Linked DNA regions of Schizosaccharomyces pombe. Changing the gene in region 4 together with the main gene of any one other region gives a genetic interaction. Each region holds a gene or a part of one and is shown on either strand. Other genes may lie near its edges.

Evidence for each region.
Region 1: mutations in ppb1 (region 4) and ypt3 are lethal when combined (synthetic lethality), as found in Schizosaccharomyces pombe (2 studies listed by BioGRID).
Region 2: of ppb1 (region 4) and pck2, a mutation in one rescues a mutant of the other (synthetic rescue), as found in Schizosaccharomyces pombe (2 studies listed by BioGRID).
Region 3: of ppb1 (region 4) and mkh1, a mutation in one rescues a mutant of the other (synthetic rescue), as found in Schizosaccharomyces pombe (3 studies listed by BioGRID).

The regions. Positions count from the first base shown.
Region 1 is NC_003424.3:2,211,821-2,218,810, forward strand, and holds ypt3 (Rab11 family GTPase Ypt3), read left to right. Parts: upstream 1-3,851; 5' UTR 3,852-3,915; exon of another isoform or gene 3,916-3,971; 5' UTR 3,972-3,994; coding exon 3,995-4,421; exon of another isoform or gene 4,422-4,556; intron 4,557-4,665; coding exon 4,666-4,746; intron 4,747-4,800; coding exon 4,801-4,937; 3' UTR 4,938-5,314; downstream 5,315-6,990. Other genes in the region: heterochromatin (HP1) family chromodomain protein Chp1, read right to left, coding at 1-2,039; serine hydroxymethyltransferase Shm2, read right to left, coding at 5,367-6,749, 6,896-6,979.
Region 2 is NC_003423.3:2,307,202-2,316,378, reverse strand, and holds pck2 (protein kinase C (PKC)-like Pck2), read left to right. Parts: upstream 1-3,370; 5' UTR 3,371-3,541; coding exon 3,542-6,592; 3' UTR 6,593-6,942; downstream 6,943-9,177. Other genes in the region: cyclin CycC-like Srb mediator subunit Srb11, read right to left, coding at 180-211; SPOM_SPBC12D12.05C (calcium-binding subfamily carrier protein), read left to right, coding at 393-554, 592-1,710; DNA polymerase zeta Rev7, read right to left, coding at 1,903-2,102, 2,172-2,275, 2,324-2,439, 2,482-2,594, 2,635-2,685, 2,729-2,755, 2,805-2,835; chaperonin-containing T-complex alpha subunit Cct1, read right to left, coding at 6,943-8,448, 8,693-8,778, 8,817-8,864, 8,913-8,943. UniProt on the Schizosaccharomyces pombe protein: Involved in the control of the cell shape. Target of the inhibitor staurosporine.
Region 3 is NC_003424.3:611,307-620,519, reverse strand, and holds mkh1 (MEK kinase (MEKK) Mkh1), read left to right. Parts: upstream 1-3,244; 5' UTR 3,245-3,671; coding exon 3,672-7,022; 3' UTR 7,023-7,151; downstream 7,152-9,213. Other genes in the region: sro7 (Lgl family protein), read right to left, coding at 1-100, 144-2,049, 2,098-2,527, 2,575-2,676; exosome 3'-5' exoribonuclease subunit Rrp6, read right to left, coding at 7,243-9,213. UniProt on the Schizosaccharomyces pombe protein: May regulate cell morphology, cell wall integrity, salt resistance, cell cycle reentry from stationary-phase arrest, and filamentous growth in response to stress. Activates the MAP kinase kinase skh1/pek1 by phosphorylation.
Region 4 is NC_003423.3:2,870,546-2,878,351, forward strand, and holds ppb1 (calcium-dependent serine/threonine protein phosphatase calcineurin catalytic subunit Ppb1), read left to right. Parts: upstream 1-3,376; 5' UTR 3,377-3,451; coding exon 3,452-3,590; exon of another isoform or gene 3,591-3,634; coding exon 3,635-3,841; exon of another isoform or gene 3,842-3,995; coding exon 3,996-5,314; 3' UTR 5,315-5,564; downstream 5,565-7,806. Other genes in the region: SPOM_SPBP19A11.07C (uncharacterized protein), read right to left, coding at 1-150, 188-254, 307-326; oxa102 (translocase Oxa101), read left to right, coding at 1,353-2,582; S-adenosylmethionine decarboxylase proenzyme Spe2, read right to left, coding at 5,688-6,824; cut14 (condensin complex SMC subunit Smc2), read right to left, coding at 7,305-7,806. UniProt on the Schizosaccharomyces pombe protein: Calcium-dependent, calmodulin-stimulated protein phosphatase. This subunit may have a role in the calmodulin activation of calcineurin. Appears to be involved in cytokinesis, mating, transport, nuclear and spindle pole body positioning, and cell shape.

The DNA.
Region 1 (6,990 bases), on a different chromosome or scaffold from region 4:
AGTAAATAAGACAAGTAAGATTGGGATTTATGATATGGCTTTTTAGGCCTTAGATTTTTTGCCGACCATTCGACTAGGATTGATTCTAAAGGTTCAAAAATCACCATCCAAAAAGGGCTATTGCTTTGGCCTTGACAATCGTATAAATTCATTAAAGCATTATTATCCTCTGTAAATAATAATAATGTATAGTTACTACCCAGAACGATGCCAGCACCGTTGCCGCGGTTTAGTATATTTTTAAAGTGAGTCATATCAACATCGCTTCGAATACAAAGACTTCCGGAAAGAACTTTAGTCAAGCAAGTACCAAATACCTCGAGATATTGTGAAGTAACAAAACGTAAAACATCTACTTGCTTGCAACTGACTAAACTTCGTAACAACTGTTGATGTTCAGTTTCCGCCTTAAGCTTGGATATATCAAATGACAATTCTCCAGCATAGTAGAGAGATTTTCCGACTCGCAAAACGAATCTAAAATAATCAGACAATGTGCTTGCTGAAGAAAGATCTTCGGATTCGCTTATCGAATGGTGAAGAGAGTTATCCGAATTTAAAGTAATATTACCAGCCGGAACTACTTTGCTAGCTCCATCATTTTCAAAAGTTTGATCGCTTTTAGAAACACTGTTCCAGTCGTTATTAACAGTAGTCCAACTACTTCCGATAACACTTTTCTTAAGCTGCTTAGCATCTTCATTCGTCACGTTTACGTTGAAATCGAAATTTTCGTCCAGATCGACATTGCTAGCAAATTTTTCCGACTCAGAAAGGGTATCTGTTGTTGTTTGTGTAAAAGAAACGGACCTTGCATTTGCTTTCTTTGAAGGGGTTGTTTTTAAAATAGACTTTGAGACTTTACATTCTTCCATATCAGTTGATATCTTCCCTTTTACTAAAGTTACATGCCAACTTGGATGCCCTTTATCATACGCAAGTTTGGCTTGTTCGATAGAATCGAATTGAATGTAGGCCATATTACAAACTTTGTCTTTCTTTGGTGATTTGAGAAAAAAGACCTCAATATTTCCTTTGATAAAAGCAAAGTACGATAAAATATCTTGCTTCGTTAAAGAACCAGAATTATCACTAACTAATATCGTATGCGTTTCTAATTTCGGTGCTTCCTTTTTTATCTTCAAAGAGGAAGGAAGAGGAGTCGAATTGCTAAAAAATAATGAATTGGCAACATCATTATCGGAAGTTATTACTGGCGACAGACTTAAAGGGCTTGAATGCCTAAAGGTTGACAAGGGGGTGTTAGATTGTGGTGAATTCGCATTTTCAACAAAAGCGCCAGTATTTTCAAGATTGTTCGAATTTTGAATTCCGGGAACTGAGTTGTCAGAGTCACTGGGCATCAACATTGTGCTTTTAATTTCGCCATTTTTCAAAGGTATTGCATCGCTGGAGAGGCTTTTGGACAATAAAATACTGTCGGTAACTGTAGGCCACTCTGATAAGTAGAAAGGATTAACATCAGGGCTAGTTTCACCAAACGATGTGGATAGCGTGCTAGTTTTATCGGTCAAATTCCTCTCCTTCAATTCCCCTTGCATACTTTTTCTCTCAAACGCATCCTCATCCATTGTCTGATCGTCCTCTTCCTCTTCATCATTTGCGATGGTTACAATCCTTCGGGCAGGCTTCTTACGCATCTTTTTGAATTTTTCTTTGACTTTTTGAGATAATTGGGTAAGCTCGGATTTGCGCTTTTGTCTTTGTTGCCTCAATATCTCCTTTTCTCTCTTCATTTTCTTTGCCTCATTATCTTCCGCATCGAAAGGTTCAAGCAAGCCTTTAGCAATTAACTTTTTCCGTTTTTTCCATTTTTTAAGCACTTTTTCCGCACCGAATAAATTTTGTTCAGGTTCCCAAGTATTATCATACCAATCATAGCCAGCCCATTTTATATAATATTCGTTTATGCCATTTTTATTTACGCGGTCAGCAAGGATATCTTCCACCTCATAAACATCCGCGTCTGTCTCACCTTCATTCGAGTCAATATCAGGAAGTGGTTTAACAGATACCATTTCAAGGTAGCGGGTTTTTTGCTCACCTACGTGTCGCTAAGAGAGATTGAAGTATTACAACAAAAAAATATATAAAAGGATAAAGATATGAATTTAAAAAAAAAACGGAATTAAGCAAGATTGAATAGATTCCTTGACAAAACTATTAGCCAAAGTTCTTCCCTTTCAACTACTTTTATAGTTGCATGAAGGGCAGAGTATAACCTCTAAAATGGCTCAAATATTTCCCTTTTGCTTGTGATTTTTTTACCAATGGAACACAAGAATAACAACAGATAATTCCAGTAATGAAGCTTTTAGATGTTAGAATTTCGAAGTCTCGCTGCAATAAGCAAGATGGCTTATGCACTCGAATTTTGGAATCAAACAAAATCCGCGTGATTTTACCGTCGTGTCACCAACGCAAACCGTTAAATATACAAAAAAATAAGTTTTCGATTGGGTTTGGAGTTTTATTGCATTAATCAAGTGTGTGAGGTTGAGGTTGCAGATTTGAAGACACCTATGGAGACATATGTACTTTGAGAAAATACTCACTAACCACTAGTGTTACTAGTTGCATACATGAGGTACTAGTAGTCAAAAAACTTTGTTGGTAAATTGATAAATGTTTAAAATTTTCTCATTCCTCCTGAACTTCTAATTTTATTTTCTGGGTGGTTGTGTAAGTTAGAAAAACTTTAAACAAATAATGAATTTTGTTTTCAAAAAGCTACAATGAGTAGATTTTGAGCGCTGCAATTTATTAAACGATGCGTTTATACATAATACCTCTAAATGTGTTAACTCTATATAAACGAATTCAACACAACATATCATTCCAAAACTGGTAGTACAATAAGAAAAGTAAATAATTACTACGATAGAAAAAAATGATCGTGCCAAGACTCGAACTTGGGACCGTCTGCGAACTAGCATGTTAAGCAGAAATTATAACCATCTAAACCACACGACCTCTTTTGATAATTGCTTGCATTAATTTTATATAGAGGTTAACCAAGGGATCCATTTACTTATATTATTACGGAACTATGTTATTCGTTTTCCATGAAATGAACTTAATAAGAAAAACTGTTTATGTGCAGGATTTTTTTGTTTCTTGTTAACCCAAGATTTGCCAACGATAATTATTCGATGGATTACTCAAGTAACTTTCTGCATGAAGGATGCCTGCATGCCATGAGCAGCATCCAACATTGTATAACTTTTGCATAAAGAAAAAGATTTCAATTGAGCCGCCAATTTTATTCTTTCAAATTTTTAATTTCGATCATTGTGACCATTATAAAAGTGAGAAAAAGCTGCTGAAAAAACCGGAACTTAAAATATTCTTTCTTTGGCTAGATAACTTTGTAACTTGGAAATCAAAACATTGCTTTCAAAGAATTTCTACATCATTGTTTGATGCAGGACTAAAATGGGTATAGTACTGACTAATCGCACTGTAAAAACCCATACCAACCCGTCCATATCCAGTTTTGCGATTGGGTTCAATCGGTCATTCATATAATTGATAGTACTTGCATTCAATTGAGTACTTGCGCTTCTTTATATCAAAGGCATTTTAAAATGTTTACAAAATAGCGCTTTATAGTGAACAACAGCATAATGATTTTGATGATAGCAATCACTAAACGACACCAGCCTTCTCATGATTACGACATTCTTTGTAACGCAGTATAATTATTTAATGAATCATTGGAATGCGTTATATGCATTTTAACGGCCAGTGGCACTAGTGGACTTTTTTTTGTTACCATGATAAAGGATTATTACTTCCTTAGGTTTTCTGATATCCCTCTGCAACTTACCTACAACAAACTACGACTAAGTAAATTCTTCGACTATCGAAAGCAGGGTTCATTGTAATTTACAGGTATATACCTTGATATTATTTGACCTTAAATATTTGTTAACAAAAATTGTTCGTAGATTTACCGATAGAGAACTTAGCCATGTGTCAAGAGGACGAATACGATTATTTGTTCAAGACTGTGCTGATTGGGGATAGTGGTGTTGGAAAGTCAAACCTACTTATGCGTTTCACTAGGAATGAATTTAATATCGAAAGCAAGAGTACTATTGGTGTTGAATTTGCTACTAGAAATATTGTTCTTGACAACAAAAAAATTAAAGCACAGATCTGGGATACTGCCGGTCAGGAACGTTATCGGGCCATTACCTCAGCTTATTACCGTGGTGCTGTTGGTGCTCTGATTGTTTACGATATCACAAAACAATCTTCATTCGATAATGTGGGCCGCTGGTTAAAGGAGCTTCGTGAGCATGCAGACAGCAACATCGTTATCATGCTTGTTGGTAATAAAACGGATTTACTACATTTAAGAGCTGTATCTACTGAAGAAGCCCAGGCATTTGCTGGTAAGTAATTTTGTTGGTGAGATATGGAGTTGTTCGGACGGGAAGTAGTGAAACCGGCTTTAGCCGCTCTCACTTTATTCCGTTCATCGTTTTTAGCAATTTTGAACTGCTTGAAGCGTAGAAGATCTCTTTTTGTTTTGAAATATTATTCACCTTGTCGATTCCATTCTCTGTTTATTAAGCACATTTGTTTGCCTCTGATTCGTCATAATTTTTTGAACATAATTAACTAATGTTTTTACAGCTGAAAATAACTTATCTTTTATTGAAACCTCCGCCATGGATGCTAGCAATGTTGAAGAAGCTTTCCAAACAGTTTTGACTGGTATGTTTATTCGTACTTGCTTTGATTTCTTCAAGTTTTACTAATCTAGCGTAGAAATTTTCCGAATTGTCTCCAACAGATCACTCGAGGCTGGAGACGACGGTGTTCATCCTACAGCTGGTCAAACGCTTAATATCGCCCCTACCATGAATGATCTTAATAAGAAGAAGTCTTCTTCCCAATGTTGTTAGATGGTTATCACGGATTCGTACCATTATTTTACCTCGTTTCTCTTCATTTAAAAACTCCACCCCTTTATAACATTTAAGGTGCCTTATGATTATGAAATCTTTAGCAGGTTAGTCAACCATTTATTAGGGCTGTATCCTTTAATAAAGGGGTAGATATTTTGCCTAATGCTAATATTGTCTACTATGGATTTACCGTCCTTCTTTATACACGCTTCAGCATAATTTTATCCCCATTCCTATGCAGCATATAAGTGTAACACATTATTACCTCTGTTTATTATATGATATTTGTAGGGTTACTTTAATAGAGAATTTGTCCAGATATTTTCATTATTCATACAGCTCATGTTTAATTTCCATGATATATCCTTTATAAGAGAAAGTAACAGATGATAAGTATGAGATAAGAGCCAAAAAGTTAGAGACAGCTTAAACGGGGAAATCAAATTTTCCAGCCCAAGTTATAACTTCTTTCTTCAGTTTGGCGATTTCAGAGAATTTAGAACCATCACCCACATATGCTTTGAAGTCTCTAAACTTCGATTTTCCTTCCTTCAAAGCAGCTTCATTTATTTTCTTGGTCAAAGATACAACTTCATCAATTAGCTCTACCACTCTCTCAAAATCCTTCTCATCAAAACCGCGAGTAGTGCAAGCTGGAGTTCCCAGACGTAATCCACGTGGAATTAAAGCAGACTTATCTCCGGGCACAGTATTCTTGTTGGCAGAAATATTTACAAGCTCTAAAATACGTTCGACACGGGCACCATCTACACCTTTGTCGGTCAAATCAACAAGAACCAAGTGAGTATCCGTGCCACCTGAAACTAACTTATAGCCACGAGTAATAAATGCATTGGCCATTGCCTTGGCGTTACTTAGAACGTCCTTTTGGTATTGATAGAATTCAGGAGTTTTTGCTTGTCCAAGGGCGACAGCTAACGCAGTAATTGTATGATTATGGGGGCCGCCTTGATGTCCAGGAAAAACTGAGAAATTGATTTTATCCTCTAATTCATATAAAATTGGATTACCACGTTTATCGTGAGAACGAGTACCTTTTCGATAAAATATCATAGCTCCTCTCGGTCCACGTAAAGACTTATGAGTCGTCGTAGTAACAATATCGGCGTATTCAAACGGAGAAGGAATTACACCGGCAGCTACTAAACCGGATATGTGAGCCATATCACAAAGCAAATAGGCATTGCACATTTCCGTAATTTTACGCATACGCTTGTAATCAACGAGTCGTGCATAAGCACTAGCGCCTGCAACTATAACTTTAGGACGAAATTGTATCGCAGCCTTTTCCAAACTATCATAGTCAATAATACCAGTTTCCTTATTTACGTTATATGGCATGGTGGAAAAATAAGTCGAGACAGCTGAAATAGCTTTCTGGGGAGTAGAGAAACCATGAGATAAATGACCGCCATGGGGTAAATCTAAACCCATTAGGCGATCGTGTGGCTTCATTACTGCTTGATAAGCCTGTAAGTTGGCCGGAGACCCAGAATGGGGTTGTACATTTACTCCCCATTTTTCCCCATCCAAATGAAAAGCTTCTAAAGCTCTCGTTTGACATAGTCTTTCAGCTTGATCTATAAATTCATTACCACCATAATATCTTGCACCAGGATAGCCTTCACTATATTTGTTTTGCATAATACTTCCGAGTGCATCCATCACAGCTCTTGAAGTAAAGTTTTCGCTAGCAATTAAAGCTATCGACTCTTTCTGACGGCTTTTCTCAGATTCCAAAATCTTATACACTGTCGGATCACATTCTGCCAATGGTGCTTTGAGTAACTTAATTATCGTTAGAACTTTATTAGAACACTTCATAAATCATTTGAGCAAGTCAATCTATCGCCTGTTGATAGTAGCAAACAGCACAGATAGAAAATACAGTCATTGCTTGCTCCAAAAAAGCGCGTTTAAATAAACTTCTTTACCTTTTTTTGATTAGCAGAAAGCGCATAAAAGCGCTTGGGAATTGAAGAGTAAGAGTTCTTGACGAATTGACGAAGAACTGCCATTGTGGTGATAG
Region 2 (9,177 bases), 560 kb from region 4:
TAATTAGACGTAGATCAGCTCACTCGCAAGCCTCAATTTGTCAAGAATATGTTCAGCAGTAATAAAATAGAAAAGCAGATATTCAAAACTCAATTAAGACATTTTAAAGAAGAATAGGAATGAATTAAAGGCCAATTACCTTCTCGTAAAACCTTTAAAATTAAAATTGATAACCTTACAATTGACTAGAGGCCCAGTAATTTGCTGCCATATATCACACGATATTTTAAGCTGATTGACCCTTAAATATCATAAGAGATAATAAAAAACAGTGTCACAGATTTTACTATTTACGATAAATTTTCATGGGCTGCTGGTATGGTCAGATACATTGACCTGTGAGGACTCACCTATTTCTCTTTACCCCGGTACACTCATTACCGGCATGAAGGATGCCAACTGAATTATCTGATATCACTATACAAAGCGTACTTCCATGTGATTATAGTTTGTTTAAAAATAATTTACGGGTTTCAAGGCTTCCAGAATCGCGATTTGTTTTTTCCCCAAAAGAAGAAATAAATTGCCAATCTCTTCTTCAAGGTCCGGAATTGGTATGTTTAATGTAAAAGGATTTTCTTTAACCATTAGAAAACTGCTTTAGATAATTTAAACTTCATTCATAAACAGAAATTTGAGCATCAATTTCGACATGGCTATTGGAAATTGCACCCACATCCGCATCATCAACATGATTCAATAATTCCTGCAAGTTGGATTCATGATACTCCGCATATGAAACTCGTCTTTCATCGTTTACAGAATTTACCTGACGGTGATCTGTTACTAGAGAATGACCCTAAAAATAACGTTGGTTATTTCATTAGCGGAGGGATTGCTGGAATCGTCTCTCGTACCTGTACAGCGCCATTAGATCGGCTAAAAGTCATGTTGATTTCAGACACTGGTTCTAAACCTTCCCCGAAGTATCCTTTTGCTACTTTGCTACATACCACTAAAGTTTTATGGAACCGTAATGGGATACGTAGCTTCTTTGTGGGAAATGGCATTAATGTTTTAAAGGTGATGCCTGAATCCTCCATAAAATTTGGTACATATGAAGCGATGAAACGAGTACTTGGAATATCTTCAAGCTCTGAAAATCATAGTCCTCTTTATTCTTACTTAGCCGGTGGCATGGCTGGTTCAGTTGCTCAAATGTTTATATATCCGGTAGATACTCTGAAATTTCGCATTCAGTGCAGCGATTTATCTCGTGGTCAGCATGGAAAAAGCATTATTTTGTCCAACGCAAAGGAACTTTATAAAAGCGTTGGGATACGGGGTTATTACAGAGGCGTGCTCGTGGGCATACTGGGTATGTTTCCATACAGTGCAACAGATTTGGGAACATTTGAGGGCCTTAAGAGGACATGGATAGGTATCTTAGCAAGTCGTGACAATGTCGATCCACAAGATGTGAAACTTCCTAATGGTTTAGTGATGGCATTTGGAGCACTTTCTGGAAGCACTGGCGCTACCATAGTGTTTCCACTTAATGTCATACGTACTCGTTTACAAACGCAAGGTACGTCTGCACATCCTGCAACATACGATGGATTTATAGACTGCTTTTACAAAACTACAAAAAATGAAGGTTTCCGTGGGCTTTATAAAGGATTGTCTCCTAATTTGTTGAAGGTAGCACCTAGTGTCGCTATTTCATATCTGGTATATGAGAATTGCAAAAAATGGTTGGGCCTAGAGTAAGGCACATTTTCTAACTATTTATAATTCTTATTGGTAGGGACCTTTACTTCAAAATTAATAATTCTTTCATTGATAATGATAATCCTTTATCGCAAAACTGATTCTTTATTTACTTTACCTAATCCCCTCTTATTTCATAGCAGATACCCATTTTTCTTGCACTACATTCTGAAAAGAAAATTAGAGATACCTCTAATCCGAATTTGTATATTTCTCGACCCAAATTTCCGTCATCATTGGTCCAATATCCACATTTCGAACAGGAATGGTGATGCCCTTAAATTGCCTTGTTGCGTCTGTTTCTCTCGCTTGCGGCGGAAGAAACCACTCTTCCCATTGTTTTGGTCTGGGAAAACCATCTTTTAGCGTTACCCGAAGCGTCCAAGTGCATTCTAATTTCAGTATTATTAGAATTGAATTTAGTAATAGAATATTTTTTTAGAAAATAATACTGTTTATACCTTGTTCAATAAGAGGAAGTCCATTTGTTATATTGAGTAATTGGATGAGCGAAGCTCTCATGTATTCAACGTAAGCATCTGTGAATGGCTCATTTGTTGAAATTCTACAATATTGTTAAAAGATGCCTATGCCAAGCTAATGATAGTCATACTGTTTCTCAAGTAAGAAATCAGGAATAATCGGGATAGAATCCGTTGAAAAGACATATCGTTCCTCTTCTCGCTGCTCTTTGTTAATAATAGAGAGTGCAACTTGATGTACTGATCCCTAGACGAGCAGTTAGAAAAAGAATTGGATGACTAAGAATACCGTCTGAAGCTCCTCGATACAAGATTGCACTACTTCTTCAATATATTCGCACAAGATCGGATGCCTTGATTGCCAGACAATTGTATTGTATTTTCGAGCTTTTATAAAAAGGTCTAATATGAGAGTTAAATCAAAAGCTAAAAAATCGAATACCTTGAGGATAGAGTCTTCTAGCGTAAAGAATACAATGAATGCTTACAAGCACTGAATTGTAAGCAAAAATGGAAGTTCAAAGTTGCACACATACAAAATTCTCCAAATATATCAATACATTCTAATAGTTTAGCAAGCAAAAGACCCAAATAATCATACTAATAACATACTTTTCACAGACCATCCTGTGTCGTTTTCCATCAGACATGAACGATACGATGATTACTATATTCAAAAATTTCTTAATATGTTCGTTCAAATTCGAGAATTCTATCTTTTCTGAATGAAGCGAGAAAATAAATAAATTATAAAGTTATTAAACCAAAGATATGCAAACTAAAAGAATATCAGCAAACATAGTAATTACATGGATTACAATAACGTACCCGCGATTATTGACGGGATTCCGTAAAACTAACAAAAGACAAATAAGATAGCTGGATAATGAACTGTTCTATTAATTGGTCAATATTTTTTTATTTTGCGTTATTACAATTTTAGCATCAATCAAATAAAATTGGACATGTGACAAAAATATTTATGGGGTAAAGTTCTGTAAAATCGTTATTTTCAAGATTAACGTGCCAAAATCCTTCGAAATTATAACAGGGGTCGCTGAAAAATTTGCCCATATATTTCAATAAATTTTGAAAAAGGAATGGAGTGGTGGGATTCTTTGAATTGCTTGCGAAATCCCTGCGAGCTTGCCAGTCTTACTTCATAGCTACCGCCTTCCAACTACTAAACGTACGAAAACATCGAAAGGACTAAAGCGGGTGTTTACTAGCATTTTATCGAGCTTAAAAGTCTTAATGAAATCTTATAATCACATTAATATTAAAAACGGAAGCGAAAAATTGCAGATAAGAAGTTAAGCGGAAAAATCAGGATTAGGCCATTTAAAGTAATGGATATGATTGATGAGGCTATAACAGAAGTTGTTAGGAAAATTGAAAGAGAAAGATCAGTTATTCATGGCGCCCTTTCCATGAAGCGCTTGACTCAGAATCAGACAGTTCACCAACAACTTCATAGCAATATTGAAGAATCAAAAAAGAGCATTATTTATTTAGAAGAACGCTTAGAAAAACTAAAGCTTCGCAAAAATGGTGTCCGAAAGAGTAATTCTGAGAAACCGTCCGTTGGCATTGAGAAGAATCCATCCTTTAGCACTACAAAATCCGCTAAAAGCTTTTCCTCTACTTCTTCTAATATCGATTCTAACTTGGATTTGCTAAATTATGATACCCCTCTTACTATTTCAAAGATATCATTCTTATTACAACAATTGGAGTTCAAATTATCTGTTGAGGAACAATATCGAAAAGGTATTGAAAAGATGGCAAAGCTCTATGAGCGTGAACATGACCGTCGTAGTATAGCTGAAGCAGAGAAGAAGTATGTAGAAAGTGCTCAAAAGATTACCTTACTCAAGCAAGCTTTGAAGCGATACCATGACTTGCATATCGAAATCGATGAGGAAGATGTTCCCAGTACGGAAAGTAGAGGTAACTTAAATGCCCGTCGTCCCCAGTCTGGTCTCCTTAAAATTACCGTAGGATCTCTAAGGAACGTCACGCATTCTGCTGGAATCTCCAAGCAAACGGAAATGATAGTTGCAATTCGTGCAGAGGATCTTGAGCGTGCACGTACTCGTCCAAGCCGCACCGACCGTTTTAATGAAACTTTTGAAATTGATCTGGAGAAGACTAATGAGGTCGAAATAGTTGTTTACGAAAAGAAAAATGAAAAATTGCTATTACCTGTTGGTTTACTTTGGATACGGTTATCGGATTTAGTAGAAAAACAAAGGCGAAAAAAGGTTGAACAAGAGGTTTCAGATAAAGGTTGGGTTAGTGCCGACAAAATGATTAATCAAAGACTTTCAATATTTTTACCTTCTGCTCTTAATAATATTTCAAAGCCTGAAAGTACTGACCGCCCCAACACAGCTAGCGGTAATCAAAGTGTGAGTGCTTGGTTTTCTCTTGAACCCATGGGACAAATTAATTTGACCATGAATTTCACAAAGCATAATACAAGGAAGAGACCTATGGATGCTGGCCTCGGTCGTCAAGGTGCTATCCGTCAACGCAAGGAAAGCGTACACGAAGTTTATGGTCACAAATTTCTACAACATCAATTTTATCAAATTATGCGTTGTGCTTTATGTGGAGAGTTTTTGAAGAATGCTGCTGGTATGCAGTGCATTGATTGTCATTACACCTGTCATAAAAAATGCTATCCAAAGGTAGTTACTAAATGCATTTCAAAGTCTAGCGATTCTGCTTCTAGCGAATACGAGAAAATCAACCATAGAATTCCTCATCATTTTGAATCTCACACAAACATAGGTGCTAATTGGTGCTGTCACTGTGGCTACATCCTTCCTTTAGGAAGAAAAACTGCCAGGAAATGTACGGAGTGTGGAATAACTGCGCACGCTCAGTGTGTTCATCTTGTTCCGGATTTCTGTGGTATGTCTATGGAGATGGCTAACCGGGTTATTTCTGAGATTCGTACAACTAAAATTTATAAAGCTCAACAACATAAACAGAAAAGTTCACATCACAAGCATCATCATCATAAAAAGTCTAAGTCTTCATCTTCGAAACATAAGGAAAATGACAAAGCATCCGTTTCTATTACAACCACCACAACACCATCTATCACTCCTGCAGACCCTGTTCCAACTTCTCCAAAACCACTGGCAATTGAACCGGTTAAAAGAAAGCCTGTACATGCCGGTAATTTAGAAGTGACATCAGTCTCTGATAATAAACTTGGCGCTACAGTTCAGGTTGTCGAGCAGAAAGTGGATGACAAAGCTGATGCGTTGACGAAACCTCCTTCCCTAGATGCTGTGAAAGAGCCAATCCCAGTACCATCAGTTGAAACCTCTGTTGTTGCTCAAGACCTAACGCATAAAGCTAAGCGTATCGGACTTGAAGACTTTACTTTCTTATCTGTGCTAGGCAAAGGAAATTTCGGTAAAGTAATGCTGGCTGAGCTTAAAAGTGAAAAGCAATTGTATGCTATTAAAGTTTTGAAAAAGGAATTCATCTTAGAAAACGATGAAGTCGAAAGCACTAAATCCGAAAAACGCGTTTTTCTCGTTGCCAACCGAGAGCGTCATCCATTTTTGGTAAACCTGCATTCTTGCTTTCAAACCGAAACCCGTATTTACTTTGTCATGGATTTTGTGAGTGGTGGTGATTTGATGCTTCACATTCAACAGGAACAATTTTCACGTAGAAGGGCACAGTTTTATGCTGCTGAGGTGTGTCTTGCTCTAAAATACTTTCATGATAACGGTATCATATACCGTGATCTTAAGCTTGATAATATCCTTTTAAGCCCAGATGGTCATGTTAAAGTGGCCGATTATGGTTTGTGTAAGGAAGACATGTGGCATGATAACACTACTGCCACGTTTTGCGGTACTCCTGAATTTATGGCACCGGAAATCTTATTAGAACAGCAATATACGAGAAGCGTTGACTGGTGGGCTTTTGGTGTACTAATTTACCAAATGCTGCTTGGTCAATCTCCATTTAGAGGAGAAGACGAAGAAGAAATTTTTGATGCAATTTTATCTGATGAACCTTTGTATCCTATTCATATGCCAAGGGATTCCGTTTCTATATTACAACAACTTTTGACTCGCGATCCTAAAAAACGACTTGGATCTGGCCCTAACGATGCAGAAGATGTCATGACTCATCCATTTTTTAGTAACATTAATTGGGATGACATCTATCATAAGCGAACTCAACCACCGTACATTCCAAGTTTGAATTCACCTACGGACACCAAGTATTTCGATGAGGAATTTACCCGAGAACTCCCAGTTCTTACTCCTGTTAATTCTATTCTGACGAAAGAGATGCAGCAACATTTTGAAGGTTTTTCTTATTCATGCGAGGATGATAAACCCTCGACTACCGATAATGCTTAGCACCTTAAATTGAGCATAAAGTTACTCTCATTTTCTTAATCTTTCATTGCATTGATAAATTATTCTAATTTCGACTTTTTAAACTAAACATTTTTGGATTTCTTTACTACCTGGGTTGTATCTATGATATTATAAGCATGCACATTAATAATCCATACAGTGGCATTAGACTTTTGTTTATGAAAGCACTAGCAAAGTAGTAATTTACTGAGTTTAATAATTTACCGTTTATTGGTCAACAGCTATAGTGCTAATATATGTTAATATCCATCGCATTTGTATCTATGGAGCAAAATTTTTGGATACATTCAATGAAACCCGCCAAATATACCTATGCTTAAGTAATTGCTTTAGTGCAACCCTGCATGTGGGTCTTCTGGTTGTCTTTCGGGATCAAGTTTGATACTAGTATCGATACGTAAAATAGCAATGCATGCCTCAACGGCGCTCTTCAAACTTTTCAACTTAGACATGGATGGCTCAAGAACACCAGCCTTAACATTATCACGAATTACGCCATTAAGTAAATCAAGACCATAATTTTTGTATCCCCGTTTCTTAACATCTGTAACCTCAGCATTTTGACTGGCTGCGTGATAAGCACGCAACTTAGCTGTCAGTTCAGTAGAGTCTTTGGCGGCATTGACGGCCAAAGTTCTGGGAATAATTAACAAAGCTTGTGCAAACTCAGCAATTGCAAGTTGCTCACGAGAGCCCAAAGAGGTAGCAAAATTTTCCAAGTAAATGCTCAGAGCTGTTTCCACAGCGCCGCCACCAGGAACGACTTTGCCGCTCTCAAGAGTGCGTTTGACGACGCTTAAAGAATCATGCATTGAACGCTCCATTTCATCTAAAGAGTATTCATTGGGGCCTCGCAGAACAATTGATGCAGACGAATAAGCTTTGGTTCCTTTGACAAGAATACATTCATCATCCGAAAATTTTTCTTGAACAACCTCTTCAGCCGAGCCCAAGTAGGAACTTTCAAAGGTTTCTTCACCCTCTAAATTTGACAATGAACTGAGTAAGGTAGCACCGGAAGCCTTGGCGATACGTCTCAAATCTTCCTTTTTGCATCTACGAACAGCCATTGCGCCAGCTTCAATAATGGATTTCAAACAGAGATCATCAATGCCCTTTGTGGTAAGAATAACATTGGCACCCGCATTGAGAATTTTTTTGACGCGTTCCAGCGTAATCATAACTTCTCGTTCACGGATCTTTTCAAGTTGATCGGGGTCATCAATCGTCACATGCACACCTAACGCCATTTTAGTTTTTTGCAAATCCATATCCAAAACAGCAATTTTAGCATTCTGAACACGAGTTTTCATAGCTTGACTGGCAATGGTACAATTTAAAGCATAACCTTTAACCAGGACGGACTCTCGAGAACTTTTGCCATGTGCCTTCAAAATGTTGACAGCTTTAACAGGGTAACGGGTCTCACCCTTAGAATTAGAAGTTTTGACGGAAAGCATTGCGTCAACAGCCATGGTTGAAAAAAAGTCTGAATCATTACCAATAATTTTTGAAGACATACTGGTTTTGGCAACGTTAATAAGACTCTCTTTTCCCAAACTATCTACGCTGCAGCTCAAGACATCTGTCATAAATTTTACGGCTTCACGGATAGCAAGTCGATAACCGGTTATAATAGTAGTGGGGTGAATTTTGTTTTTGACAAGCTCATTCGCACGTCTCAACAATTCAGCCGCAATAATGACAACACTAGTAGTTCCATCACCTACTTCTTTGTCTTGTTGTTGAGCTAATTCAACCAGCACTTTACCAGCAGGATGTTCAACATCCAATAATGATAAAATGGTAGCACCATCGTTTGTAACAGTAACATCCTAATACAAGTTAGATAGAAATAAAAGAAAGTAAGAAAAAATATAATAAAAGATGAACTATAATGGCAGGAATACTTATTAATTCGATTCACAATATAAGGTTGACTCTTCCCTGCCAATTAAGATTTCCTTAAATGCGAGAAGATTACAACACTAGCGTATCAAATCAATAAATATTGGTTAAAGGCCAATATCCCCCATTATTGTCTAAAATTTTCTTTTCTTCACGAGGTCTTTAACATACACCAATATCGTCAACGAGCATTTTGTCTAACCCGACAGGACCCAAGGATGATTTGACGACATTCGCAATTGCGGTCGTTGCCAAAACTAAAATGTTAAAAGTTATGAAAAGAAAATTAACATACCATTTTGGTTTCGTACGTCCTCTCCACTGATTTTTTCACCACTCAAAACTACAACATGTTAATAATTTACCATCCAGCGCAATATTGGATGCTTACAAAGAGTGGATTCTCTCGGTGCTTGAAACATTTCAGCTAGATTCGATGTTCTCCTCTAAACTGATTAACAATCTTTGTTTACACGTTTGGCAGACGTCGAGGGAGGAAGGTTCTTTGAAATGTACTAAAAGCATTCAAACCCTCTAAGTGTTACCTCATATAGCGTAATGTTACCCTCTTGGTGGAAACTAAAATTCTGCAACACAAACTACCTGTGCACTATTTGCAGCATAGGGACAATTAACAAATTCAATAATTTTGATTT
Region 3 (9,213 bases), on a different chromosome or scaffold from region 4:
TGTTCTCCCACTTCCTAAAACACAGCCAAAGGCTAATTCATGTGCTCCTAACGTTGGGAAAATATAATCCCCATTGCCTAGAATATCACCTTCTTTGAGCCTAATGGAATAGTTAGCAAATTCATTTCAAGTAAACACCTTACCTATTTTTATCAATATCCAATGGAAGTTGCATTTTACGTTCCTCACGAAGGTTTGGGAGAGAATACCAATTCACCGAAAGATCAGAATTTACGCAAACTACGGAACCCATGTGTTTGGAAACAGTAGAAAGCACAAGAGCTGCTCGACAACAAACAGGTTTTCTCCAATCCAGGTTACCCACTTGATTATTAATTTTATTAAAAACAGAAATTCCTGAATCGCCAATATACACGAGGAAAACTTCCTGTGGTAAGGGATATCCAACGCTTTGTAATGAGGATCCAGTGGCTGTCGCGATCTGGCCATCTTGAGTTAAAGAGCATATTTTATAAATGTTCTTAATATCTAATTGTCGAGATGATTCAAAATAAGCAGAAAAGCGCCCTGAAGAGGAAGGGTCTATACGGAATAAAAGTGTCATCCCTCTATATGTTCCTGTGACTACGTAGATTGAGGAAGGGCTTCCTTTAGGGTTCATAACGACAAACTCGGCACTCGTAAGAAAATCGGGATCAGGTTTTCCTCTTCTCTCTAATCCAAGCTCCGAGATGCTGGTGTTACACAGTATATGGGGGCCACGCATGTCGATGATTGTAATTCCACCATCCTGATATCCTATACAAACAAAACCAATATTGCTCATTTGGTTCAATGTTACTCTTCCTCGTTTAAGATCAATATAATATTGAGCATGTAATGTTCCCTCTAGAACTAAGGTATCGTCCAAACGATATATTCCGTTAGCGAGCTGAGCTGGTAAATTTTCTTTATGATTTTTCCTTTTGCAAACAATGACACGCCCAAAACTATCAGCACAACTGAATTCTGGATTATAAGTGGAAAAAGAGGCAGTAGTTATAAAAGCTGAAGGCGTGAGATGCTTTCGCATTACAGAAGAGAAATCCAAATTTACGCAGAGAGATGGATTCATAAAACCCTGAGATATATCCCAAATCGATAAACTAAGACCAGTCGATGTTATAAGTAGATTACGCTCATCTAATTTCTTAAGATAGCCGGGACTAGGAGATCCGCCAAAAAGACAGGAGTAATGTGAATTAACGGAAATAGTATCTTCAATTTGATTCCAAACTTTTTTTGTTACAGTTTGAAATGCTATAACTCGAAAATCTGAAGCAAGGAAGCATAAAGAGGGGGGAATAGAAAGGCTCATGTTTGAAATATTTCCAGTAGAAATGTCGAGCAGCGATAACGAGTTGTCTTCCGAAAGAAGGAGAAGATTCTTGGGATTATGAGATCCATTGTAATGTGGTGAGCTAGAAGGAATCACCAGCATATCACGTACAGGGGGGATGTCAATAAAAGGAAAAAAGCGTTGTGAGTTTGGATTTGCGAAAAATTCCGCAAATGTTTCAACATCCTTTTTGGCAGGGAGATTTCGATAACTGAACAATGAAATTCCCTTTACCGGTGCTTCTTTCGGCAAACCACCTAACATCAAAATAAATGAAACTGTTGGGTCTTCACAACAACACCACCTCATAGACCTAATGGGCTCAAGCTCCGTCTTAGGAGGATTTCTCTGCATGGGGGTATACGTGTGTATGTTTGAATCGACAAAATTTCGGACTTGTACAGGATATTCTTGATCCACATCCCAGAATGCAAAAGTCGAATCAGTATAGTAACTAACAAAGTGATCACCCCAAGGACTCCACTCTATCCCTTTGACTATAGGTCTTCGATAATTATGGGGTGATAAAACTGCAGCTGTACTACCTGGTGCATACTCCAATTCATAAAAGCGTATAACTTCGTCAGTCCTTATTGAGTACAAAACAACGCCATCCGGATATGCAATCAAAATCACACCGAGATCCTTCGGGTGAATCTGAACGCTTACAACTGGGGATAGCTTTCCAGGAACTGGTGCATAAGAGTAGCCTGAAAATTAGTAATAAATTCAAATAAACAACAATGACCTCAACGTACCCATCATTCGCCATTCCTCGTGTCTTGGGACATACAAATTTGGAACTTTGAATTTTCCAAGGCAATGTCTAGTAACATCCCATGGCACAACGGAGCCATCACTCATTCCAAAAAAAACCCAATCAATAGTAGGATCCGTTACGGTACATGTAACTTTTTGCTTGAGAAAGTAAGTGGCAGCTGGTTTTGAAAGGTCACGATGTTTCATCAAGGGATAGCTTAAGACCGTATTTCGAGAGTCAATTACAATCAAATACGCCGCACAAAGGGCTATATGGACAATGGTTGAACAGTCTGGAACTATCACACTCTGGACATGCTGTTTACCGTAAATGTATATCCGATTAGTACTAGATACAATAGCTAGTAAGCCTTGTTGATGGTCTAAACACCATAATACTGGATTTAAGGAAAACCCAAATCGATTCAACTAATCTTTGTTATTAAACATTCAACAAGCATTGCTTCCCTACTTACGTCGTCTATCGATAGTGAAGCATTTGAAGACGTATGGGTCTTCAAATTGGATTTGGATAAAATTTCTTTTCCCTTACTTAGCTTTTTTTTAAAAAAGCTCATATTTTCCCAATTCTTGGTATAAATATACTAATCATGTTATACCCTCGTAGCATATACAAACTCACGCTCAACTCGTGTTAGAGAACGCTATTTTTGGATAACGTCTTGTGCCGTTAAACCAATAATAATGTAAGCTACGCAGTTTGGTATCTGATTTAAGGATACGTAAACTGCGGTGAGTTTTCCTTGTAACCTATTATATTACAATAAACAGGTTGTATGAGTAGCAACTGAGTATTGTATTAACTGTGTTATAATGTTACCTATCACTAATATAGCTCATAACTGAACTGAGGAACGAGGTTCAGTTGTAACGCTATTTATAATATTTCTAAATAGTTGTTATCAACTGGTAACTAGTATATAGATGGATAGTTACCCGTGATTATCAATAAACGGATCTTAGCTAGTATTCCAACATATGACATATAGTGATACACAACGTAGTGTATCATAGCGTAATGTAGTATTGCTGACAAATAATGAGACTTCTAATTTTATCCTTATAGCACTGAATTCGACTTTGCATCATTCACTAGTCAAACCGCAAGCGATTTTGAGCGGGCCTAAAGCCAGACACCAAGCTGGAGATTGCTTGGTTTACCCGTGAAGGTTTATAGAATCGAAATATCAGTTTTACATTGATAAAGTATCTATTTTTAATTCTCTATTATTTTCTAACAGGCTTCTGTGGAATTGGCGGTATCATACGGGCTGCATGTCAAAACACATGGGAAGTCTTTTTGCAATATCTTTAAACCCTGAGTACTAGTGATTCAACATTTCTCTCCTTTCTTAATATTTTATTTACCTGCAAGAAATTGGGCTATTACTAACATCCCAAGTCTGTCTTTTGCAAATTAGTTCACTCGTTTCAGCCGAATCTTAATTTTTTTAATCATAAACTACTTAAGCAGCAATCTCCAATTCGTTTGACAAAAAAAAGGTTTTTTATCTTGAATTCTTTTCAAAGTAACTAATACTGTTCTGGGTATATGGCTGCCGATATCGGATCGCAGTCATCAGGCTCTTTGGAAGAACGGTTTGAACAGTCTCTTCATCTTCAGAATGTCGATAAGCAAGATTGGTCACTTAACAGTGTACTTCAGTTTTTAAAACTATACAAATTTAACAAAGAATGGGAAGACGTTTTTATTAAAAGTCGAATCGAAATGGATTTATTTATCAATTTGGCCGATCAATCAAAAGCCGAGGAATTCGCCTTTAAAAATAAATTGAGCAAGGAGTCTGCCATCCAATTGAGTAGCTGTATTCGCAAAACACTTTTAGCACCTTCTTCGACTCGCGTACCTAGCAAAAACTCGTCTTACGAAACATTAACTTACAGCGCCAAAGATAGTTCGGATGACGTTTTTACAGAAACTAACTCTGGTTTCCGCTCTTCAAATCAAAATTCGTCCCTCAAAAGCTTTCAGAGTGTTCCTGATAGCAATGTGAACGTGTTTGGTGGCTTCGGTGGATCAGTAGTCGACAACAATGAGCTATTGAGCACAGGAAAAAACTCCCATCAAACAACCTCTTTAAATTTGGAAGGCTCTCCTATAAACTTACACGCTTACAAAGGAACTGTCACTTCAATAATTAACGATGACAGCAGAAACATTAATAAAAAAACATTGTCGAAACAACCTGTATCCGAACATAAAGAAAAACAAACTAGCTTTCTCCGTCGTTTCCGGGTACCTGGGTTTTCTCGTGACAAGGATAAAACTAAAGATTGCCCTTCTTCAAATTCGAACCCATTCCATTTAGCTTCTTCAAATGTGAAAACATTAGACGCGTCTTTGGATCAAGGTGAGTGGGTACCTCGTATTCATCGTTTAGAAAGTCAAATTGGTTTAATATCCAAAAAGAAGTCATTTGTTCTTGCTACTATGGATGATATGAAATTCACAGTAGTGGATATTACCAACGTCCAAAATGCTACTCAGCTACGTAAGCTAATAGCTAAGAGTATGTATTTAGACATTTCAATTGACCAGTTTGATTTGTTTCTCACGGAAGTCGGCGGGGCTCAATACATAGAAATATTAGATGATAGAAAGCTTGATATTGCAAGGCTTTATTCTGATGAATTTGGAACTATTAAATTTTTCGTAAAGCCATCACAAAATGAAGAATCGGGTATGGATAGTGATACTTATTTATCTTTTGGCACAAAATCAAGTTCAACTTATAAAGCTGATGATGACTCAATATATCATCGCAAGGAAGATTTTAAAAAGCAACCAAGTTACCCTGTGCTTACTTCGGATTTTGAAATTACTGATGCAGGACCTAATTTATCATTATCAGGGCATCAACCTGATAATAAATACTACAAAGGTTTTAGTTCGGCACCGAATTTGGCAGTTGTTCCAGAATTACCATCTCGACGTTTTCGAGGGTTTGAAAAAATCCGTGGTGCTAAAGGAGAAATGGCTACAAAAATTTTGGATGCCACTGAAGCCCAAAGTGAAAAAAACAAATTTACCGTTTGTAGACCTCACAAGAAGGTCACATTGAAAATGCCACTTAATTCCGGCTCTTCCGCTCCCCAAAGTCCTTCATCTAATACTTCTGCTTCTGTTTTAACTAGAAATTTTGTGGCACATAGAGATCCTCCACCCCCACCCACAGAGACATCTAGTTTACGTCGAAAAAATACATTGACTCGTAGACCAAGTATTCGTCACGCTCGGTCCTCTCCTTACATTGATACCGGACATAACGAAGCTAGCAAATTTTCACATACGTCTTTTGACCCCAAAGCATCTAGTAAATCTTCTAATTCATTAAAGGAAAGTGTGGAAGCTTTATCAGAAATACCTTTTGAAGATGCGCCTGCACTAGACGAATCGGATCTTTCTGGGGATCCCTTTTGGGCTATACAGCCCAAACAATCTTCCTCCCAAGTACCTAAAGAAAATCATCACAACATTCAATCCAAACTTTCCATTAACACAGAGGCTGCTACGGATTTGAAAGCAAATGAACTATCTTCGCCTAAAACTCCTGAATACTGTAGAGGTGATGACAGATCCATTAGTTTATCACCGTTATCTTATCGTTTAAGAAAGTCCAAACATATTCGTGAATCCCCACCGTCTTCAAAGGTTATCAATTCTGGTAACTGGGAAGTTCGTCCATCTGCTGATGATCTTTATGAGGATGTTGATCGATTTTTTCCCCGTTATGATTTGGATAAAGTACTTGTAGTGGACCAAAGCCGCATGGTTTCTTCCCCTTCAAAGGTATCGATACGTCCGAAAATGAAGTCTGTACGATTATTAGCCCGCGAAGCATCTGAAGCTCGGAAAGAAATACGACATAACGCGAGACGCAATAAATCTGGAAATCTTCTACGTCGATCAAGTACGAAACTTTGGGGCTCTAGGATTGTAGAACTAAAACCAGATACTACTATAACTTCTGGATCAGTTGTTTCACAAAATGCCACGTTCAAATGGATGAAAGGAGAATTGATTGGAAATGGTACTTATGGTAAGGTATTTTTGGCTATGAACATTAATACGGGTGAATTGATTGCAGTAAAGCAAGTTGAAATACCACAAACTATTAATGGCCGTCATGACCAATTACGCAAAGATATCGTGGATTCCATTAATGCAGAAATTTCTATGATTGCCGATTTGGATCACTTAAATATAGTGCAATATCTGGGTTTCGAAAAGACGGAAACGGATATAAGTATATTCCTGGAATATGTTTCAGGTGGTTCAATTGGTCGATGTTTGCGGAATTATGGTCCTTTCGAAGAGCAACTGGTCCGTTTTGTATCACGCCAGGTGCTCTACGGGTTGTCTTACTTACATTCTAAAGGTATTATACATCGAGATTTAAAGGCTGACAATTTGCTCATTGATTTTGATGGAGTTTGCAAAATTTCAGACTTTGGAATATCTAAGCATAGTGATAATGTGTATGACAATGACGCAAACCTGTCCATGCAAGGATCCATCTTTTGGATGGCACCTGAAGTAATTCATAATGATCATCAAGGATATAGTGCTAAGGTCGACGTCTGGTCCTTGGGATGTGTAGTGTTGGAAATGTTAGCTGGTCGTAGACCGTGGTCTACAGATGAGGCTATCCAAGCTATGTTCAAGTTAGGTACCGAGAAAAAGGCGCCTCCTATTCCTAGTGAATTGGTGTCTCAGGTATCACCCGAAGCGATTCAATTTTTGAATGCATGCTTTACTGTGAATGCTGATGTAAGGCCAACCGCAGAGGAATTATTAAATCACCCGTTTATGAAATGTGACGAAGAATTCAACTTTAAGGACACGAATCTTTACGACATGCTTTGTAAAAGAAAGAGCTAAATTGGTCGCAATTATTATTTATTACTTAGCGTTTCCTCGCAGGGGCATGCATTCTCAATTTCTTCTTATAGCTATTTATTTAATATTGAAATTAATTTTGAAAATTATTACATTATTATACAAACAAACATACATGATCATTTTCAATTTCTACAATGTATTTAAAAGTAAATTTTCATTTTGTCAAAATTGTTTCGTTTATTTAAAATTAAAACTGATATTAATAAGATGTACTCTTCCCGTCTGAAACCTTCCTTTTTTTGAGTTCCCTAGTATTTCGCTTTGGTAAACTTACCTTGTTAAGAGGATTAAAACCCCGTTTCCCAAATTTATTTTTTCCTACATCAGAGTCTAAGTCAGCAATAAAATTCTTTTGATTTTTATAATCAAAAGGTGCTTCATTGATAATTGGACTGTCATTAGAAACATGTTCGGCTTCAATAGTAAGTTTTCCGCTGTTCTTCTTTTTCTTCTTTTGCTTCCGTTTTTTTGACACTGAAGTTGAAGCTTCCGAAGGTTCAATATCTTCATTTCGCTCCTCTATGGGGTTTGAGGGTTCTTTATGATTAAGCTTAGAAGAATCCCTTTTTTGCTTGTTCAGCCCTAAATCCCTAATGACTATAGGCTCTTGTTTCTTCTCTCCATTCAGACTCGGGTTTGCAGCTTCAGTTACAGTGGACTGCTTTACATTCAATTCGGATTCAACATGCCCTTGAGTACAAGGAAGAGTTAATGAAAAAGGAATATTCTGGTTCACTATAAAGAGTCTCTCTTTACGAGCTTTCCGTAAATCATCTTGCGACTGTCCCTCAATCCAAAACGCAGATCCATTTGCCAGCAAAGTCTTTAGTTTACTTCTATTTTGTTTAGAAATCTCGAAAACACTGGAGTCAACTTTGTAATCACCCAAAGTATTCGATTCGGAAAAAACTGCTAGCGGTTGATTTTGCTTCTCAACTTCTTTAAATTGGGATTTCTCACGATCTACTTGCTCATTATACAACTTTTCGGCTTCTTGAACGACTTTAACGATATCTTCAACATACATGCGAGCAATTGGTGTCAATTGCTTAGAAATTGAAAACACATCAGCCGCTTCAACCGGTTTACTGGCGGCAATCGCAATAAGTAAACGATTTGGCAACACATAGCGAACACTTTCATCTTCTTTTCGGGCTACGGAATCTCTCCAATCGTGCAGTGCTCGATAAATCATCAAAGCTTCCCGTCCAATTATTTTAGAAGAGCCAAACTTAGTAAGTACATTTCTCCAGCCATCAGTACCAAGTCCATAAATAGGATCATAAGGCTCAAGTTCATACTTTCTAAGAGATATTTGTTTACTGGAATTGAACACTGATTGCATAAGATTTTCTTTTCTTTCAGCTGATTTTGATATGAGTTCATTTCGTAAATGATCCCAAATATATAACAAATAATGCGTATCAGATTGAGCATATTTTAACATTTCCCGAGGCAAAGGACGGATTCTCCAATCAGCCATTTGGTATCTTTTATCTGCATCATAATCACAATACTTTTGTAACAGAAAAGCCAGACCATGACCCTCAAATCCTAAAACTTTAGTAGCATAGTATGTATCAAATAAGTTTACAACGTAAAGCCCGAAATCTCTTTGCAGCCAAATGATATCCATAGTTGCACCATGAAAAACTTTAATGATATTTGGATTAGTAAAAACAACATTCAAAGCTTCAAGCTCTTCGCGGAGTTCCAAGGTGTCAACAATCCAATCTTTTTCTCTATTACTAATTTGCATTAGACAGACGAACCCTCTAAATGATCTGTAATCATGGTGTTCAAGATCAACGGCTATTTCTTTGCTGTTTTGTAATTCTTTTAGCATATCCGATAACTGACTTTCAGTACTAACCCAGATAGGTTCTGTTTCGTCGACAGAGCCAGTATCGATGGGATTAGACATTTCTGAAACCCATGGAGGATATACGCTATTTTGTATTTCTGGTTCATATGGATGTGGTAACGAGTTTTTGAGACTAGGGTCCAATTTGACTTGAGCGATAATCTTTTCGAGCGGTACTAACGAATGTGGTTTTTCAGTTAACTTCCAAGACCACACAAACTCCCTGGAATTATTAGGCTGTACTCGAAACCTTAATTGAGGCTTAGTAAGATGAGCTGCGTGAATAACCTTGTAGGGCAACTTTTC
Region 4 (7,806 bases):
AAACTTGTTTTGAATTGAAACGATGTTAAGGACACAAACTTGCAACAATATGGCTAAATTGTCAAACTTGTTGCTATCCCTGCAAATGCGTATGTCCTGAGCAAGAATAAAACTGAAAACATCATTTTCAGTCAAGTTGCAGGTAAATAACTGCTATGTTAACAATTTCCAAAGTGTACCAACTTACAAACTCGTAAATTTCACGCTCGGGCTTAGTATTTAAAGAAGCAAGGATTGCATGACGAAAAGAAATTCTATAAACAAAAGGCATTAGTAATCGAAATACCGAACAAAACGAGTACTAACTTGGATTCCGCGGATCCCATTGATTACAATATAATGCTAAATATGAAAGTTTAGATTTGAGAAAGGAAATGCTTTAATTCACAACACGCCTTTAGAAATAAGAGCAATCAACTTCTGCAAAATATGCTTTCTGTTCGATGTCGGAAATTGTCTTTAAAAGCTTTAGTAACTGGTATAGTCCAAAATGTTAGGTAATGCTAACAACCTAAATACAATTTTATAAATGGAAGCCTTTACTTAAATTCCAATTTGGCTTTACAAAAGTAGCACAGCTAGGAAGTAGGACATACGGTACTATGATGTCGTACAGTATTGCCAATTTATTGCAGTAAATACACATACTAAATTTGTTGACAGTATAACGATAAATCGTTATCTTTCATTAATATTGACAATTCATAAGTATTGTCACTGCAATTCGTTAGTATTAATATCCACTATTACTCACTATAACTAAACATGTACTATAGTCATATTCTATTCATGTTTAACCAAAGACTCGTTTCTCAATATACCAAGGAAATGTAAAAAAAAAAAATAAGAGAACTCGCTTAAATCTTTATATCCTCTTTAGAATCAATAACCGCTTTTGCCATAACTTCTAAATCAAAAAACACATGTATCACTAACTTCTTTGTAACATAAACCAATGTCATTATTGGTCAAACGATCGCTTTGCTAGTTTATTTTCATTGTTGACTTTGACGCTTGTGTCAGATTTAACTGTGTGAAACAATCTAATTATAAATAGTCAAAAAATAGTATGTATTTACTTATATAACGACAGATACCACACTACACCGTGTGCCAACGCGCACACAACTAAATTTCAATATCTCTACTACCTTTTCAGGTTATTTTACCAGTTAATTTACCCACTTTTAACTTGCAATTAAATTTTTATTAGAGGATTTTGGATCTATTTATATGTTTTTTTGGGTTTAATCGCTTCATTTTATTTTTGGGTATCTTGGATAAACATTAGCTGGTTCTTCGATTTGTAAAAACATATATCCTTGAAGTTCGAGCTTCACTATTAATCAAGCATGTTTTCAGTCATTGGAAGAGGAATAAAGTTTTCTTCGAAATCTCATTACTCGGTATCATGCTTTTTGATTGCTACACAAGGAGCGAAGATTCGCCAGATCCACACACATAATACATTTTTTAAGAATTTCTCTTTTGCTAAGCTTGGCCGAAATCAGCGTACTTCTTCCTTAATAAAAATTCACAACTCTTCGACTTCTTTCCCCAAATCTAGGTCCGAGAAAGTGGTTTACACTCCTAGTCTGCCATTGTCGTCCTCCGTCTTAGCATCTTTTTCTTTCTTACCTCATAATATCCTCCAAAACGGCCTTAATACGCTTCATATTTGGAGCGGCCTTCCTTGGTGGGCTTCAATTGCTGCATGTGCTGTTGCTATGAGAATTGCAGTATTTCCTATTATGTTAAAGATGATGAAAACGTCCGCAAAGCTCGCTATCATTAACCCAAAGGTTGCTGAACACATGAGTGTGTTGAGTAAAGCAAAGGCTGAAGGAAACAGCGAATTAATGATGCAAGCTACCACTCAAATCCAAAACCTTTATAAAGTTAACAATGTTAACCCTTTGAATTTGCTTTCTGCTCCTGTATTTCAGGGAATTCTGTTTATTAGCTTTTTTTACGCGTTGAAGACAATGGCGGGTGTACCTGTAGAGGGTTTCACTGATGGTGGTTTTTGGTGGGTTAATGATTTATCCCAGCCTGATCCTCTACACATATTTCCGGTTGCAAACGGCCTTCTTATGCTGCTCAATATAGAGCTTGGTAGCGAAACTGGAAGTAATAAGGTTGCTATGTCTCCCTCAATGAAAAAATTTTTTAGATTTCTTTGCCTTGCCAGTCCACTATTCACTATGAATTTTCCTATGGCAATTTTTATGTATTGGTTTCCTAGCAATGTCTTCAGTGTATTTCAAGGGGCATTTTTGCGTTCATCCACCATAAGGCATAAACTTGGCTTACCAGAAGTCCCATCTGCTATGCCAGTACCGAACGCTCAAAATGAATCGTTTGTTAAGTCATTTACCGATATTGTCCATGGGGTTCAAGAAAAAGGTAAATACCCACAAGCCTCTGAAATACTAGATGCTACACGTTTCCTTAAAACCGATACAAACAATGAGCAAAAACCTACTAATAATAGTACAATTACCAAAGCTACTACGCTATCTGATAATTCTCAAAATGACAAGTCCTCTTCTGTTACCAAACCCACCGAGAAGAAAGATTAAGCTTTTTTGTGTGCTTTGGAATTCTCTTTCTTAGAAGTGTTCCAATGTCCTATTGAGAGCATAAAAGTTTGTAAGATATGGTTAATTTTTTACATTTGTTGCATTATTCATTTCTTTCCTTTGGCTTTATCCCATAATTTTACATATGTTTTAGTTTTTGCATATATCTTCACACTTGCAACACTCTTTTCTATTTCCTTTACTTCTAATAAAATACCCAAATTTACATTTATTTTGCTTATTCTTTCTAAAAATCGCTTTTGTCTAATTCTTTACTACGGAAAGCGATGAGAAATCAAAGAATATTTACAATAACCTAAAATTTGACGTAGCCGTCTAAACAAAAAATAAAATGATTATTAACTCTTAAAGTGTTTTATGGATATTTATTTTATCAATAAAACTATCGTTATTTCAGTTAGGTAATCATGGAATGTAAGTTTCATCAAATCAACTTAGTTTGCTTCTCTCAAAAATGAGCAAGGCAATATAATTAGGAAGGAATTCAGGTAGTATTTGGGTTCCCTTTCTACAAGTTCATTTCTTATTACTAACACGATTGGTTATTAAGATATGTTTGTCTAAGCGGCGATTGTTTGTAAATTTTTAAATATACAGAAGTAAAGATTATGATGAAATATATCTATATTATAAAAAAAAAAAAAAGTACTTAGAATTGTAAACAGATATGTTTTTTGTTCACATGGTTCATTGAGAAAAGCAATTACGAATTTCTTTGCTTTTCGTTAAACCATTTTCCAAAACCGCCGGGACGATGTAAGTATAACAAACCAGAATCTACCAAAACTTTTTGCAAGAATATCTAGCATTTTACCCAGGCTGTATATAGGCTTGCAAAAGTTACTAATATGACTTCGGGTCCTCATAATTTAGAAGACCCAATAGTTCGAGCAATTCGCCAAAAAAATCAAGCTCCTTCTCATGATTTTACAATATTTGTTCAAGAAGATGGCTCTAGTGTTAGCACACTGGATAGAGTAGTGAAAAGTACGGATATTTTTGAAAGAAATTAGTCTTATTAACAATCAAAGATGTTCAAGCACCAGCAACTTATATTCCGACGGACGTGGAGTTTTTTGATATTAATGAACCTGATAAACCTGACTTGCATTTTCTTCGCAATCATTTCATTCGGGAAGGCCGTTTATCTGAGGAACAAACGTTGTATATTATAAAAAAGGCTACAGAAATTTTGAAGTCAGAAGACAACTTGATTGAGGTGGATGCACCTGTCACTGGTATGTTGATTATCACCTTTCATATTTAGGCCCTAATTACTATAAGGTAAAATATTAGAACTTTGAAATGTAATTTATGACTATGTTTTTCCTTCATTTTAATTTGGGTCGATATTTTGTTTGTATTGCAATATTCTTCGGTCTGACAGCTTAGTATGCGGTGACATTCACGGCCAATATTATGATCTTATGAAACTATTTGAAGTTGGAGGTAATCCAGCAAATACCCAATATCTTTTCCTTGGAGATTACGTGGATCGAGGATATTTCTCAATTGAGTGTTTATTGTACTTGTGGGCTTTGAAAATATGGTATCCGAAAACGCTTTGGTTGCTTCGTGGCAATCACGAATGCGCTCATCTTACTGACTATTTTACCTTCAAGTTAGAATGTACTCATAAGTATAATATTAAAGTTTATGAAGCTTGTTTACAATCTTTTAATGCCCTTCCTTTGGCAGCTATTATGAATAAGCAATTTTTATGTGTACATGGTGGATTATCACCCGAACTACATACTTTGAATGATATACGAATGATCAATCGTTTTTGTGAGCCTCCAACTCATGGGTTGATGTGTGATTTACTCTGGTCTGATCCCCTTGAAGATTTTGGATCGGAAAAATCAAACAAGCATTTTATTCATAATAATGTTCGTGGCTGTTCTTACTTTTATAGTTACCAAGCTGTTTGCACCTTCTTAGAAAACAATAATCTCCTCTCCGTTATTCGTGCTCATGAAGCTCAAGATGTGGGCTATCGAATGTATCGCAAAACTAAAACAACCGGGTTTCCATCTTTGATGACCATATTTTCAGCACCCAACTATTTGGATGTTTACAATAATAAAGCTGCTGTTTTGAAATACGAAAATAATGTAATGAATATAAGACAATTTAATTGTTCCCCTCATCCTTACTGGCTTCCTAACTTTATGGATGTTTTTACTTGGAGTCTTCCATTTGTGGGCGAAAAAGTTTCTGAAATGTTGATTTCAATGCTCAATATATGTTCTAAGGAGGAGCTTTATGAAACGGATTTGAAAGAATCGGCTCCGACTCAGCATAAACAGCCTGCTCCATCTGAGAATGAAAATAAAGCCGACCAAGAAATTGATATTGAAGCTCGTAGGCAAATTATTAAAAACAAGATTATGGCTATTGGCCGTATCTCTCGAGTATTCAGTGTGCTTAGAGAAGAACGGGAAAGTGTTTCGGAACTGAAAAACGTGTCAGGTACGCAAAGATTACCTGCGGGTACTTTAATGTTGGGAGCTGAGGGTATCAAAAATGCTATCAATTCCTTCGATGATGCTCGTAAGCTGGATATCCAAAATGAACGTTTACCGCCATCTAATAGCCGTCGACGTTCTACGGATTTAAAGGCTTTCGAAGAAGTAATGAATTCGTCTGAAGATGATACCTCTATCGATCATTTGGTAGAACGCTTTGCAGATAAGAAAAGCTCTTTGTAGATACCAAAACCTGCGCATATTCGTTTTTTAGTTGGAATTTTTCAATGAGCATAAACCTGATCCGAGGTTTTAAGCATACTTACAACAAATATCTAAACACTCAAAATAAAGAAAGCAAATGAGTTTACTTTAGCATAATACAAGATAACCGATGACTAGATACATAAGCATTGCATTTAGATATTCATAATAAACTTTTTGGTATTCATAACTATGAAACCTTTTATAAAACAAGCAAACAAAAGACGACTACTTTTTGCATAATGAAAGATTGTAAAAAGGGGTATTCGCATGGCACGCTCCACCGTAAAAAAGAATGATAATAAATATAGCAACAGATAATTTAAAATATCTAGCTGACTGTTCTCCGAACTTATACTGCAGTAAAGCTGGCAAATATAAGATCATATCCAGGAAAGTCATACACTATAAATTCTTCACGCTTATAAGAGCTAAAAGATTTAAGTTTGGCCGAGAAATGCTTCTCTTGAGACGCACCTTTAGCCTGGAAAAGGGTAAGACAAAATTTGTTTGCACCAAAAGTTTTAACAGTTTTTTCGATTGTTTCAGATATGGATCTTCCGAATTGGAATTGCGAAACATTTGTTTCAAATGAAGCATAAGAACAATGTTCTTGAGGCGTAACATGGATTGTGGCATAGCGGTCCTTGTAAATCATATTCGACGAGAACCCAATTGGCTCAAATTGAAAAGCATCAAGCACTGCTTTTTTATCAGAGGTACTACATAAGTCTCTAACACCCGATTCATCAGCTACATAACTGCCAAGGATGTGACCCCCCGAGAGATTGTTTTTTTCTCGAACATAGTCATCACCTCTAGCGCTCCGAACAACATCCAAGGATGGAGCGTAAAACTGAAGCGAGCGTTCGGGAGACATATCAGTCATGAGTACCTCTAGGGTCTCATCTTCAGGATCAAGGGAATCTTCCAGTAAAGAATAATCATCAGCCAGATCAGAAAACAGATGCCAGTGATTCTTGTTTGTCGGACCCACTACATAAGAGCATCCACTTGGAAAAAACAGTTGTAAGTAACGAACTTCTTCCTCCCAACTCGTATGTGGTGCAAGCTGGCGTTCGGGATATAAAAAGTTTTTTCTTGAGTAAAAAATACGAAGAGGACGATCAAAGCCAACACTAGAAGCAATTTCTAATAGGCGAGGCAAACTAGCCAGTAGTGTAGTGGTTCCGCATGTTTTAAGGATAATTTTATGGGCAAACACAAACATAGAGGATTCAGAAAGTAAATATGCATCTATTTCTTCACTATTAACAACGCTGAGGACTTTACATTGGGCTTGGGCTAGCATATCATCCCAATCATTGCGAGAAACAGCTTTTAGTCCCAAGTTAGCCTTTTCACCCGCACTTAAATTGGTTTTTATAGGAGCCGAAAACCATAGTTCCAGCAATTTTTCAGGACCTTCAAATGAGGAGGTGTTAAATTCTTCCGAATTCTCTTGATCAACAACAAGGGTAGGAGACATTTTAGAATATAGTCATACAAAGAACTTCCAATGCTATATGTGCGCTGTGAGTGTAATTCCCAAAACACGTACTAGCTAGTTGCTCCAGTTACACTTTTAGGATATTTATTAGCAAAAAAGCATACAAATAATAACTTAATTGCGGCTGTCGCACCAATTTTATATGATGTTGAGGCTAAATACATAACCACAGAAACATCCTGTATCGATCAAAATTTTAAAACCCTACCCTAAATATTTTTGAATATGCTACAAATGACATCGACGCTAATAATAAATTTGGAAATGATGAGTTTACGATATTTTATACATATGATACATACCGTAGTCTAAGTTTCATTAGCGGCACAAACAACTTTAAAGAACCAAAAGTCTTGTTTTTAATGATTGGTAGAAATATTCTTTAAATAAATTAAGACATCGGTGATAGTAAATAGTAGGACTATACATGCGCGTATAATTCAAGTGTTTACGTTCAAATTAGCGAGCTTGTACCACAGATGATCCGTCCATAAATCGTACATGAAATAGTCGATTAGCATTGGTAAACATTCCTTCTTTAAGGCTAACAATAATAAACTGAGAACCTTTAAACTTTGTTTTAATAAGTCTTCCAATGTTTTGGGTATGACTTAAATCGAGCGCCGCGTCAATTTCATCTAAAATGTACATTGGAGCAGGCTTATATTTAAGTAGAGACATAATAAGAGCCAATGCAACTAGAGACCTTTGTCCACCACTAAGTTCTGCCAGACTATCTTTCCAAATTGACCCAATTTTTACATGAATTTCCAATCCATCAGTGAATTCTTTATTCTCTGGTGGCTGTAGTTCTGCACTATTACCAGGAAGTAGTTCGTCAAAAATTTCACCGAAAGAAGAATTGACTTCTCTCCAGGTTTTTTCTAAGGCACTCCTTTTAAACCGATCAATACTTTTGACAGTATCTTGGATCTTTTTCTTATCGCGATGAATGGTCTTT